Linked DNA regions of Caenorhabditis elegans. The protein of the gene in region 1 interacts with the protein of each later gene in a pairwise test. Each region holds a gene or a part of one and is shown in the gene's direction. Other genes may lie near its edges.

What was found.
Region 2: the proteins of kin-10 (region 1) and ceh-51 interact in a two-hybrid assay, tested with the Caenorhabditis elegans proteins (one large-scale study listed by BioGRID).
Region 3: the proteins of kin-10 (region 1) and lim-7 interact in a two-hybrid assay, tested with the Caenorhabditis elegans proteins (one large-scale study listed by BioGRID).

What each region holds. Positions count from the first base shown.
Region 1 is NC_003279.8:8,289,064-8,292,818, reverse strand, and holds the start of kin-10 (Casein kinase II subunit beta), read left to right. Parts: upstream 1-1,813; 5' UTR 1,814-1,901; intron 1,902-1,950; 5' UTR 1,951-2,004; coding exon 2,005-2,022; intron 2,023-2,179; coding exon 2,180-2,336; intron 2,337-2,386; coding exon 2,387-2,578; intron 2,579-2,745; coding exon 2,746-2,935; intron 2,936-3,467; coding exon 3,468-3,618; 3' UTR 3,619-3,755. Other genes in the region: npp-2 (Nuclear pore complex protein Nup85), read left to right, coding at 1-236, 461-594, 662-1,292, 1,342-1,413. UniProt on the Caenorhabditis elegans protein: Participates in Wnt signaling. Plays a complex role in regulating the basal catalytic activity of the alpha subunit.
Region 2 is NC_003283.11:18,872,549-18,876,303, forward strand, and holds ceh-51 (Homeobox protein ceh-51), read left to right. Parts: upstream 1-1,584; coding exon 1,585-1,838; intron 1,839-2,908; coding exon 2,909-3,359; 3' UTR 3,360-3,434; downstream 3,435-3,755. Other genes in the region: emb-4 (Intron-binding protein aquarius), read right to left, coding at 78-418. UniProt on the Caenorhabditis elegans protein: Required for mesoderm development, including specification of muscle and coelomocyte precursors.
Region 3 is NC_003279.8:5,714,549-5,718,303, forward strand, and holds the start of lim-7 (LIM/homeobox protein lim-7), read left to right. Parts: upstream 1-2,025; 5' UTR 2,026-2,127; coding exon 2,128-2,263; intron 2,264-3,755. UniProt on the Caenorhabditis elegans protein: Probable DNA-binding transcriptional activator.

The sequences.
Region 1 (3,755 bases):
TCCTACTCGGTGAGGAACGATACCTCGTATCTATGGCTTCACGGATTTTCGACACGTGGTGGCATTTTCTGCCATTCTTTGTGCTTGTCAAGAATCCATTCGCCGGACATGTCGAGCTCATTGAGCTAGCTGATGAGTGTAGAACACTATTCGTTGGAGAAGAGGAAGAGGAGGGTGCAAAGGAAAATGATGTATTCTGGTGTCTTATTTCGAAGGATGATATTAACTTTCAACAGGTTCTTGTTTTTATTCAAGAAATTAAATTAAATATAAATATCTCTTGAAAATAGGCTCACTATTTCTTTCACGATTAATTAAACGGCGACAGAACATTTCATTCAATTTTATCCCAATAAAAAAAAATCAAAATAATGTTCAAGAATATTTAACAATTTTCTTCAAAATAAATTCTAGATTGTTTTAAATAAGAATTAATTAATTTTACTGAATAAAATTTCAGTTGATTGCCTCGAATCCCTGGCTCGCAGTTCACCTGGTTGATCTTATTCACAAATCCACATTGGATCCCGAGTTTGAAGTGATGAGGAAAATGCACATGTTGGACTACGCCAGTGTTCTTATCTCTCATTCTCCGTTAGTTTTTGAAATTTCTAATTACTGAAAAAACATTTTAAAATATAACTTCACAAATTTTTTATAGTCTGTGGGAAATCGGAGCCGGATATCTTATTGCGTGTGGTACCGAAGGACTTCTACGTCTCGAAACACACATCGAAGGGCTTCACATTGAGGATGATGAGATGGCTGAGCAGTTGCTGGAAATATGTGAAGAGCATCGACTGGAAGACGCGAAAAGTTGTGTGACAAATACAATGACTTTCCGGTATCTGAAGCAAGGACATTGGAGTTCAACACTCGCTTGGGCGTTGAAAACTGGATCCAAAAAGACAATTGACTGGACAGTATCTCGAATTGTTGGTTCAAGTTCGAAGGATGAATTGGCTGCATTAAGAGTTTTATCTTCAATAACCAATCATTCTGTACTCTCACTTCCATCTCTTACCTTCCTCTACTCTTATCAACGATTTGTGAAGATGATGCACTGTGGTGATGTACTGGACTGTGTTCAACATCTGATACCGCTTATTATGATGCCTGATGTTCCAACTCAGTATTACTATGATCTCTTCGATTATTTAATCACGATTATCAAAGAGGATGGGCGTGCTGGAATCCGATTTTCCAAGGAGATTCTCTATGAGCTCTCAACCTTTTTGTCAACGTTTACGCTTGATAAACATCGAGATTTGAATGATAATTATATGAAAAAGGTAAGTTTTATAGACATTTTTATGATCATATAATTATAAATTGTTACAGGTGAAAGTGCTCAAAAAGATGGTAATGCTCAAGTTGACAGACTCGATTGCGAAAGGAATTGCGTGCTCTTGAATAATTTATGAATTAATTTTATTTTATTTACATTTGCCGATGTTCTTTTTTGTTCTGGGATCTCAGAAAATTTAATTTTTTGTATGTGAATAAGGATCACATCTCTTAATTTTTTTACTATTACTTGGTTTTCCACACAAACTCGTTGAATTTCGAGGCCAACCTACCTTCTTTTCGAGTTTTCCCCAGAGATCGATAGTGACCTATGTGCTATGCAACCGTGCCCCATTGCACGTCCACAAGGCCTCGTCAGCTCCCTCGTCCTCTTTTTTCTGTTTCGACAGAAAACTGCTGGAGTTTATGAATTTATGTGGGCGCACATGACTGTGATCTATTGATTTTCTTCTGCTTTTTTCAATAATTCTGAACCATTTCACCCAACCTGTACCCATAATTTCAGGCAGTTGTGTGCTTTGCGCGCAACTCGGCCAGTCATCGACGTGAACGCCACGGCTTCTGCTCGCTGGCGCCAACTCGATTCCACTTCGGTGAGTTATCATTAAAATATTATCAAAAAAAAATTTCTTTTGATTACAGGCAGAGTCTGGTTCGCAGTCAGAACAAAGCGCTAGTTTGTCTGGATCAGAAGTCATGAGTAGTTCGGAGGAGGTTTGTATTATATTTCTATTTTCTGCGGAAAACAATCAGAAAAATCTAAATAGCCGTTTTTTTTAATGATTTATATTTTAAACTATGAATTTAATAACAAGTTTTATGGTCGATTGGTGAAATTTATTTTTAGTTTCGAATCTTTTTTTTTGTTCAGGTATCATGGATCACATGGTTCTGTGGCCTTCGTGGAAATGAGTTTTTCTGTGAAGTCGACGAGGAATATATTCAGGATCGGTTCAATTTGACAGGTCTCAATGAGCAAGTGCCCAAGTATCGACAGGCTCTTGACATGATTCTTGACTTAGAACCAGGTGATATTTTTGCTGACTTCATGTGCCCCCGCAATGTAACCTTTTTCTAGAAGATGACATAGAGGATAACGCAACGAACACTGATCTTGTTGAACAAGCCGCTGAAATGCTTTATGGACTCATTCACGCTAGATATATTCTTACGAATAGAGGAATCTCACAGATGGTCGAAAAGTGGCGTGATCATGACTTTGGAGTTTGCCCACGTGTCTACTGTGAAAATCAGCCAATGCTTCCAATTGGTGAGTTATAAAAAAATCGCTACTTCATTGGTTGCGGATAATTTTTTTTGAGAAAAGTGAAACTATAAAGTACTAAATTTTCCTAATTTAAAAGTGCATTTCCAATAAAATTTAAAACAAATATTTGTTTTTACACTAAAATTTCTGTAAAATTCCAATTTTTCCAGGATTGTCTGATGTTCCTGGCGAGGCTATGGTGAAATTGTACTGTCCACGTTGCAATGATGTTTTCGTTCCACGATCATCACGTCATCAACATACTGATGGAAGCTATTTTGGCACCGGATTCCCACATATGCTCTTCTTTGTTCATCCTGATCTGCGTCCACGCAGACCAGTCACTCAATTCGTTCCAAAGTATGTCAGAGGATATATATTAAGCTAAATATTTGAAAATCCGAAATTCTAATTTAAAAAATCTTTAAAATCTCGGCAATCGAGTAAATCTTTTCATTTCAGTATACCAATTAAACTTTTTGAATAAAAAATGAAGTAAAATATTTGCTTGATTCGAAAACACAACTTAATAATGTTGGAAAATTCAAAACGACTAGTGTCTGAAGGTTATTTTTTCGGCATTCGGCAACTTTCAGGCTCTATTTGAGATCTTTTTTCAAATATTTCAACAAGAATAAGTTGCAATTTCGAATCAATAAAATATTTTGACACATTTCTAAAATCATTTTTAATTCAAAAAGTTGACTTGGTAGACTGAAATTAGAAGATTTACTCTATTGCCGAAATAAGTTGGCTGTACTAAATTAGATTCGAAATAATTTTAGAAATTAGAAGATCAAACAATAATATTTTATCCACTTTAAAAATTTAGCAGAACTTAGTACAATAATAATTATGTTATGTGTAAATTTTTAAATATCAAAATTTTCAGACTCTACGGTTTCAAAATTCATCCTGTTGCTTATGGAGGACAGGAGGGAAACAGCGGCGGAAATACGGCGAATAACGTTGCCGCAGCACAAAACAACACGACTCCAGCCGGGCAACAATCTGGAGGACAATTCAATAATTATGGTCTCTGAGCCACTTTCTTCCTTATTTTTGTTTTGATTTCTTCTTTCCAGTTTCCATTCAGAATGTCCCCCCTCTCAACACAACATCCTTATTTTCTTCATTGTTTCGTTTTTTCTTCTCCCCAAAATTTTCTTTTCCGACAAAA
Region 2 (3,755 bases), on another chromosome or scaffold:
TTTTCGGTAAATTCAACCGTAAAATTCTTAATTTTCACGTAGAATTTCTCAAGAATTCCCCAAAAAAAAACACGCACTGAGCCCTGGCTCTTCCCTGTCGATCCAACTGCACATTTGGTACACTAAGCCTGACTAATCTCGCAAATAACGATTGTTCCATATTCGAATATTTCTGGAATGCCTGATTCTGTACAACTGGCGGCAGCTGATGATGATCTCCAATCATAATCCATCGTTTCAGTCGATTGTGTCCGTCTTGTGGATTTTGTAGTAACAATGGGATAAATGTTTCAACTTCAAGAATTTGAGCGGCTTCTTCCATTACGATATTATCGTAGCGGAAGCCGAGCTTCACGAGCTCATTTCGACGGAGAGCCGCGTGTGTACAAGTCATTGCGATGATTTTTGCCTCTTTCACCTGAAAAAATCCAGGATTTTTATAATTTTCAGAGTGTTTTTGTTGTAATTTCGTCGAAAAACTCTAAAATTTTCAAATTTAACATTTCGAAATTTGAATTTTAATTATATTTTTTCTTTTTTTTGCAAAATTTTGTATATTTTATTTGAAATTTGTTGTAGGTTGTAGTTTAGGGAGCACTATATGCCTAGATTCGATATATTTTTTTGCAATTTTCAACATTTTTTCCAATATCTTATTGATCAGATAATTTTTATGTCAGTTGTTTTTTTCTTTTTTGCTTTTTTAAAAGTTTTAAGTAGGCGGGCAATTGTTGTTCGGAAAATTCGGCGAATTCCGGCAAGTTTTTACCCGTTTGCCGGAAATGTTCAATTCCGGCAATGTGCCGGTTTGAAGGAAATTTTCAGTTCCGGCAATTTGCCAGAAATTTTAAATTCCGGCAAATTTTTGCCGGTTTGCAGGAAATTTTCAATTCCGGCAAATTGCCCATTTTGCCAGAAATTTTCAGTTCCGACAATTTGCCGGAAATTTTCAATTCCGCCAATTTGCCGATTTGCCGGAAATTTTCAATTCCGGCAAATCGCCCATTTTGCCAGAAATTTTCAATTCCGGCAGTTTGCCAGTTTGCCGATTTGCCAGAAATTTTTAATTCCGCCGGTTTGCAGGAAATTTCAAATTCCAGCAATTTGTCGATTTGCCAGAAATTTTCAATTCCGGCAACTTGCAAATTTGCCGGAAATTTTTAATTCCGGCAAGTTTTTGCCGAATTGCCGGAACTGCAGTTTTTGACTGAAATTGGCTTAAAAATAAGCTTTTCAGACCAAAATTTCTACCGTAATCCAACACAAAGTACCAAAACTGCCAAATTTTGGCATTGTCCGATTTGTACGAAAAACTACAAGAATCAATCGAAAATTCGCTTTTCCGTGGAAAAACTTCACATTTTTCCAGATTTTCAGACAATTCTGAAGAACAGCCGGAAAATCTCACCCAATTCCCAGGTATCTCACCTCTCCGGTGTCACCTTTTCCCGGTCATGTCTCCCGCCAAACAAAATCGCACCTTCTCGCCTCCCCGCCTACCTAGGCAGCAATGCTCCGCCTAGATTTACAGCCTCCCCAGCTGGAGAATAGCCACTATAATTCCCCCAATTCATTCCACACAAAATGTCATCATCCAACTATAATATTAATAACGGCGGTGACTATTATCCTTTGTCTTCTTCGAATCTTAATTCAACTTCTGCTATTACTAATGCTACTGTAATGGAATATTCCACAATGCCAAGCAGCTCTCCGGGCTCAATGAGCTCATCGCCAGCCTATCCGGCGGCCTATCAGGCTCCATCACCGTGCTACGTGGCGGATCCCAATCAGCTTTACTATCAACAACAGCTGGCTCATAATGGGAATGATATGTTGTAAGTTTTTTCGATACTTTTCAGTACAAAACGGGCGTTTTAGAGTGATTTTCACTACGTTTTTCTACCGAAATGCGTGAAGAACCGCTAATTTTAATGGGGTTATTCAATTAGCGTCGGAAAATTAAAAAGTGTAGAAAAATTACGTCACAACTGTATTAAAATACATTTAAAAACATGTATTTAAATACATTTTGCAAGTAACATTTCTTGAATAACCCCATAAGTTTTGACAGTGGGAAATTACTCAAAATATAGCTTTTTCACACTATATGGCCGCGAACGGGCATTTTTAGCAAAAAAAAACTTTGTTAGCTGCTTTGTTGCAATTAACAGCTCTAAAAATTCCAATTTGAACTATTTTGGTAGCTGCAATTTTGCAATTAACAGTGTCGAAAAGTCCAATTTGCACAAATTGGGCAAATTTGGTAGCTGCTTTTTTGCAATTAACAGTGGCCAAAATTCCAAATTTAGGCAATTTTGGTAGCAGCTGCTTTTTTTGCAATTAACAGCTCCAAGAAGTCCAATTTGCACAAATTGGGCAAATTTGGTAGATTTATTGCAACTAGCAATGTCGAAAATTCCAATTTGAACTATTTCGGTAGCTGCTTTTTTGCAATTAAAAGCTCCAAAAATTCCAAATTTATGCAATTTTGGTAGCTGTTTTCCTGCAATTAGCAGTGTCGAAAAGTCCATTCTGAACTATTTTCGTAGCTGCTTCTATGCAATTAAGAGCTCTTAACAATCCAATTCAGGAAATTTTGTTTGCTACTTTTTTTGCAATTAACTGTTTTCAAAAATTTCAATTTTGAACAATTTTCGAAGCTTCTTCTTCGCAATTAGCAGTGGCCAAAATTCCAAATTTAGGCAATTTTGGTAGCTGCTTTTTTTGAAATTAACAGCTCCAAGAAGTCCAATTGCCACAAATTGGGCAAATTTGGTAGCTTCTTTTTGGCATGTTAAATTTACAGCGGCAAAAATCCCTATTTGGAAAATTTGATCACTGCTTATTTGCAACAAAATTCATCTCCGTGATCGCTTTTCTTCCGAAAATTCCTTTTTTTTTACAGAGTTCAAGCCCATGCTCAAGCCTACCAAGCTCAATGCTTCGCCTGGTTCCAGCAGCAGTACTCACAACTCTCCCCATCCTCGTTTCCTCATCCTATGGTGGCTCATCACGCTGGCTTCATCCCACCACCGCCGTCTTTTCTACATCATCAGCATCAGCAGCATCCAAGAGCTCCTTCAGAAAAGCGGAGAGGCGCTCGAACTCCGTTCTCCGATTCTCAGCTTTACGCGTTGAGAACCAGATTTGAGCAGTGCGACACAATAAAGGTTGACGAGCGACGGAAGTTGGGAGCAGTCATCGGACTTTCGCCCGAGCAGATCAAGATTTGGTTTCAGAATCGGAGATTCAAGTTGAGAAAGGAGAAATACAAGCAGATCAAGCAGGACGCTGTGCAGCAACAGAAATCGGCGAAGGAGGAGGCGGAGGAGGACCAGAAGCATGTTATTTCTTGATTTGTGTAGCTTTTTGTCACTTGTATTATTGTGTGCCCCCAATAAACGATGTTCGATTGAATTGAAGAAAAAAAACCGCGAAATTTGAATTTTCAGTGTTTTTGAACCTTTTAGAACATCAAAATTAGTAGAAATTCCACAACTTCAAAATTTTTGTCTCAAATTTACAACTCTCCGAGCATGTGTATTATAGGCGGTGTAGTCGATTTTTTTTATTGCTTCATTAGACTCAAAATTGTCTGAAAACACAGAATTTCATAATGAAACTTTTTTGAAAACTTCTCAAAAAAAAATTATGACGGCTCAAAAAATGGCCAAAAATTCGTTAAAATTTCAAATTTGACCGACGACTTGTCAATGTCGTAACGGCTGAAGGCAATTTTTTTTTTGAAATCA
Region 3 (3,755 bases), 2.6 Mb from region 1:
TTAAGTTTTTTTTACCATTTTAAATGCATTTTGACAAAATCGTCACAGGCGCTACTAAACCTTTAATTAAGATCAACTCCCTATCCATCGAGAAAACTCGAAAACCTTCTCGAGTCTGCCACGTGTCTTCTAATTCCTACCCGATGTGCTCACTTCCTGTCGGGACCTTTTGAGTTGTAAAATAGTGAGAGAGAAGATGACCACGCGTAGAATCAATATTTAGGTGAGACTGTGCGTGATCTGAACAGGAAATCATTGACTTTTGGAGAATAACGTTTTTTTCTTCAATATGCATATATCTTTTTTGTAAGTCATAGTTATCGGTTTTCTCTTTTTTTTTTAGCGAAAATTGATTTCTAGCTTTTCTCGAAGTGTTCAAAAAACTGCAAAACTTACTTTCGTACAAAATGTAGAAATTTTCGAGATTAAAAAATTTAAATTACAAAATTTTGTATTTCGGTCTTTCTATTTCTTCGTGTTTTGGAAAAATATTTTTTTAAATGGAATACGATAAACTATGAAATATAACTTGTAAAGTTTGTTTTCTCTTACACCACAATAGTTGAAAAATGGCTGTAAATTTTTCACATTTCTCCCCGGTTCTAAAAATTTTCCAATATTCTGGATTAATCCAGCATCCATTTAATCATCTTATCTTTCAAATCCTTATCAATCGATGGAATCTACAGTATCCTCGAATACTTGTCCGTTATCACCTTCTCTCGCATGCATGTTCATCTTTTCATTCGTTATTTCACACCTTTTGAGGTATACAGGAAGTGGGGGAATCAGTTAAAACATACATATGTCCACGTGTCGGCTAATTTAAGAGTGCAACTCTATAGAAACTGCAAATTCACTTTTCGTACAATTTTTTTGACTAAAAGAATGAAGAGTTTGCAATACTAACGAAGAAGTGCAATACTATTAGGGACGCAAGACTAATTGGGACTTCAAGTCTATATTTCAATCGATATGAACTCTAAGAGAGACTCAAAAATAAAATAAAATAAAACATATTTCTAGTTTCTAGATAGTTTTCAATAAGGAAAATATGGCGTCCACCAGCCAAAGGAAGAATGAGGGTCAGGTTGAATCCGGATAAGAAGATATTTCCAGGGATAATCTTGTTGAATTCTCATGTTTTCTGATTTCAATTTTTTTTCTCAATTTTTTAAAATATTCATCAATGAACATAATACTTTAAACCTCTGAGAGAACCAGTCAGTTTCTGATTTAAATATCAGAAAAATGATTGTGTTAAAGATCGAAGCAAACATACCACATTTTTTCAGTATTGCAGCCATTTTTTGGAAAAGTTACATGAATAATTTATAGACTCTGAAGATGTTCTACACTTTGTGAGTTTATTGTCTTAAACTGTAGTACGCGGAGATATTAGTATGGAAGCTAAAGGAAACTAGAAAAACATTTGAAAATGTACGAGAAAATTTGACTAAAATATAGGATGGATTTTGAACTCTAAAATCTAGGGTTATGAAATTTAAACGTCCTAAGCGATTTGTAATTTAATTTTGAAACTTTAATTGTGAAACTAAAGTGAGGTCAAATTTCTCACATTACTTTCCTTAATTCTTAATTTTTTCAGGAGCAGACAATTTTGTTCAAAAATTTCGAAATTTTCTAAATGTTTAAATATAATTTTTTGCTCATTACTTCAATCTTGATGAGTAATTTCATAGAATATATTTTGCCAGTAACATTTAACTGTCTCAAAAATTTTTTTGGCATTTGAAATGTCATTTTTTAAACTTTTTCATGATCCAAATAGTTCACACAAAACTGCTTTAATCCAATTAATTACAAATAAAAGAAATATAGGTTACCATATCCACAAAATCAGGATGTTCACACTCTTATTCTATCACTTGGGTGTTCACATCCGGCTGGTTTTCTTCTCACTTCTTTCGTTCTCCTCACTTAGTAGGTGGAGTCTACCAACCAGTCGCTCGTCGTCCGCCCGCTCAATGACTCCGCCCACTTTCTTGTCTCTCCGTGGGTCCCAGGGCTCTCGGTTCTCTTTTCGTTTGTGACACTTCCAACTGTCCTATCTGTGTTTGTGTGTATCTAGTAATCAATCACAAACTTCTATATCTGTTCAACGGCATGAACATCTGTATGCGAAATGGTTATGAGCAATTCTCACTGACATCTCCAGGAACATCGGATCTCGAAATTGGTGGATCATTTTGGAAAGACGAACCGGATACCAAGTACTTGTGCCTTGATTCTCCTGTTGAACGTGAGTGTTTTTTTTTTAATTTGAAAATGTTAAGCGTGGGCCAAAATATTTCAAAGAATTTACATCCGGAAAAAATTTTTTTGTAAATTTTCTGAAAATCACAGCTTAAAAAATTCAAAACAAAAGTTAAGTTAGATTCATAAAATTTCCATTTGAAAAGACATCTAACAGATCTAAGAATACAACACCTTCTCTCAAACTCCACTTAATCTTGAAAAATAAATCTTAAAATGTCAAAATCCCTGCAATAACAAAATCGAAAGAAGGAGAGGGAGAAAATCTGGAAAAAAAGATTATTCGCACTTCTAAGCCTTAAATATCCGTCTATTTTCCCCTGAATTTTGCAACTTTTTTATCTGAAGCTCTGGTGCTCTTCCGATTCTTTTCCCATACTACTTATAGGGATGAGCCAATGAATAAATGAGCAAAGTTCCGAAAGGTGTCTGAACTTAATGGGCTCACTTCCAAAAAATTTTGAAGTCATATAACATTACTAAATTTCTTGGTAGAAAAAACCCATTTGAGCTACACATTTTTCCATGACACCTTGCTTATTCACCAGTTTGGCAAACAAAAGAATCGGGGGGTCTCACACAAAAATATATTTTGTTGATTAAACGATATGATGGGGGTGGGGAACAAATGGGAGGCTCCATCAAAAAGCTCTTAGTTCAATCAAGTTCTGAAAGTTTAAAAGAAAACAAAAATCGCTATTTCTTTCATTCCATTTGTCCCCCTCCTCTTTTACTTTTTTCTTTTCCACCTTCTTCTTGTTGTCTTAAAAACGCATAACTTCATCTGGTCCTTCGATGAAGATCTAAGCTATAATCGCCTTATGCACATCACATGTACATATCCGGTTTGAAGATTTCAACAACCCAACCAGATTTTCTCGATTTTCTTGGCCTCGAAAACTTAACCTAGAAAGTTTTCAAATAAATATATGATATTAATAAAAATTAACTTTTCACAGTTTTGTATTCCGAAAGTTTTTAAAACCTAATTTTCTTCAAAAAAAGTTTTTCTCTAGGTCAATTTTCAATTCTAATTTCAAATCGCAACACTCTCCTCCCAAATAAGTAGTTATTTGCCGCCGCTCCGATTATGATTACTGTAGTGGTGGGGTGTTTATAATTGCTTATATTAAGTAAACTTTCCTTCTTTTTTTGGGATTGTTACTTCTTGTTTGTCAACGGCCAGTTTACTTCCTAAAATAAGATGTCAAATGTTGAACAAGGGGATTATCAATAGTTTGAAATGACTACCTTTAGTTGTTATAGTTTTAAAATTAGAACATTTTAATATGTTATTTTTTAAACAGTAGGAAGCTGTCGACTTTAAATTCTTCCGAATAAAAACGGAGCTCAATAAAATTAATGACGTGGCAAAACAGTGCTGACAGAAGAGGGCAAAAATAAAATAAAAAACGTTTTGGCAGCTACTAACATCCCCAAACACCCCACAAATGAGCTATTTTATGAGTTTTGTTAGG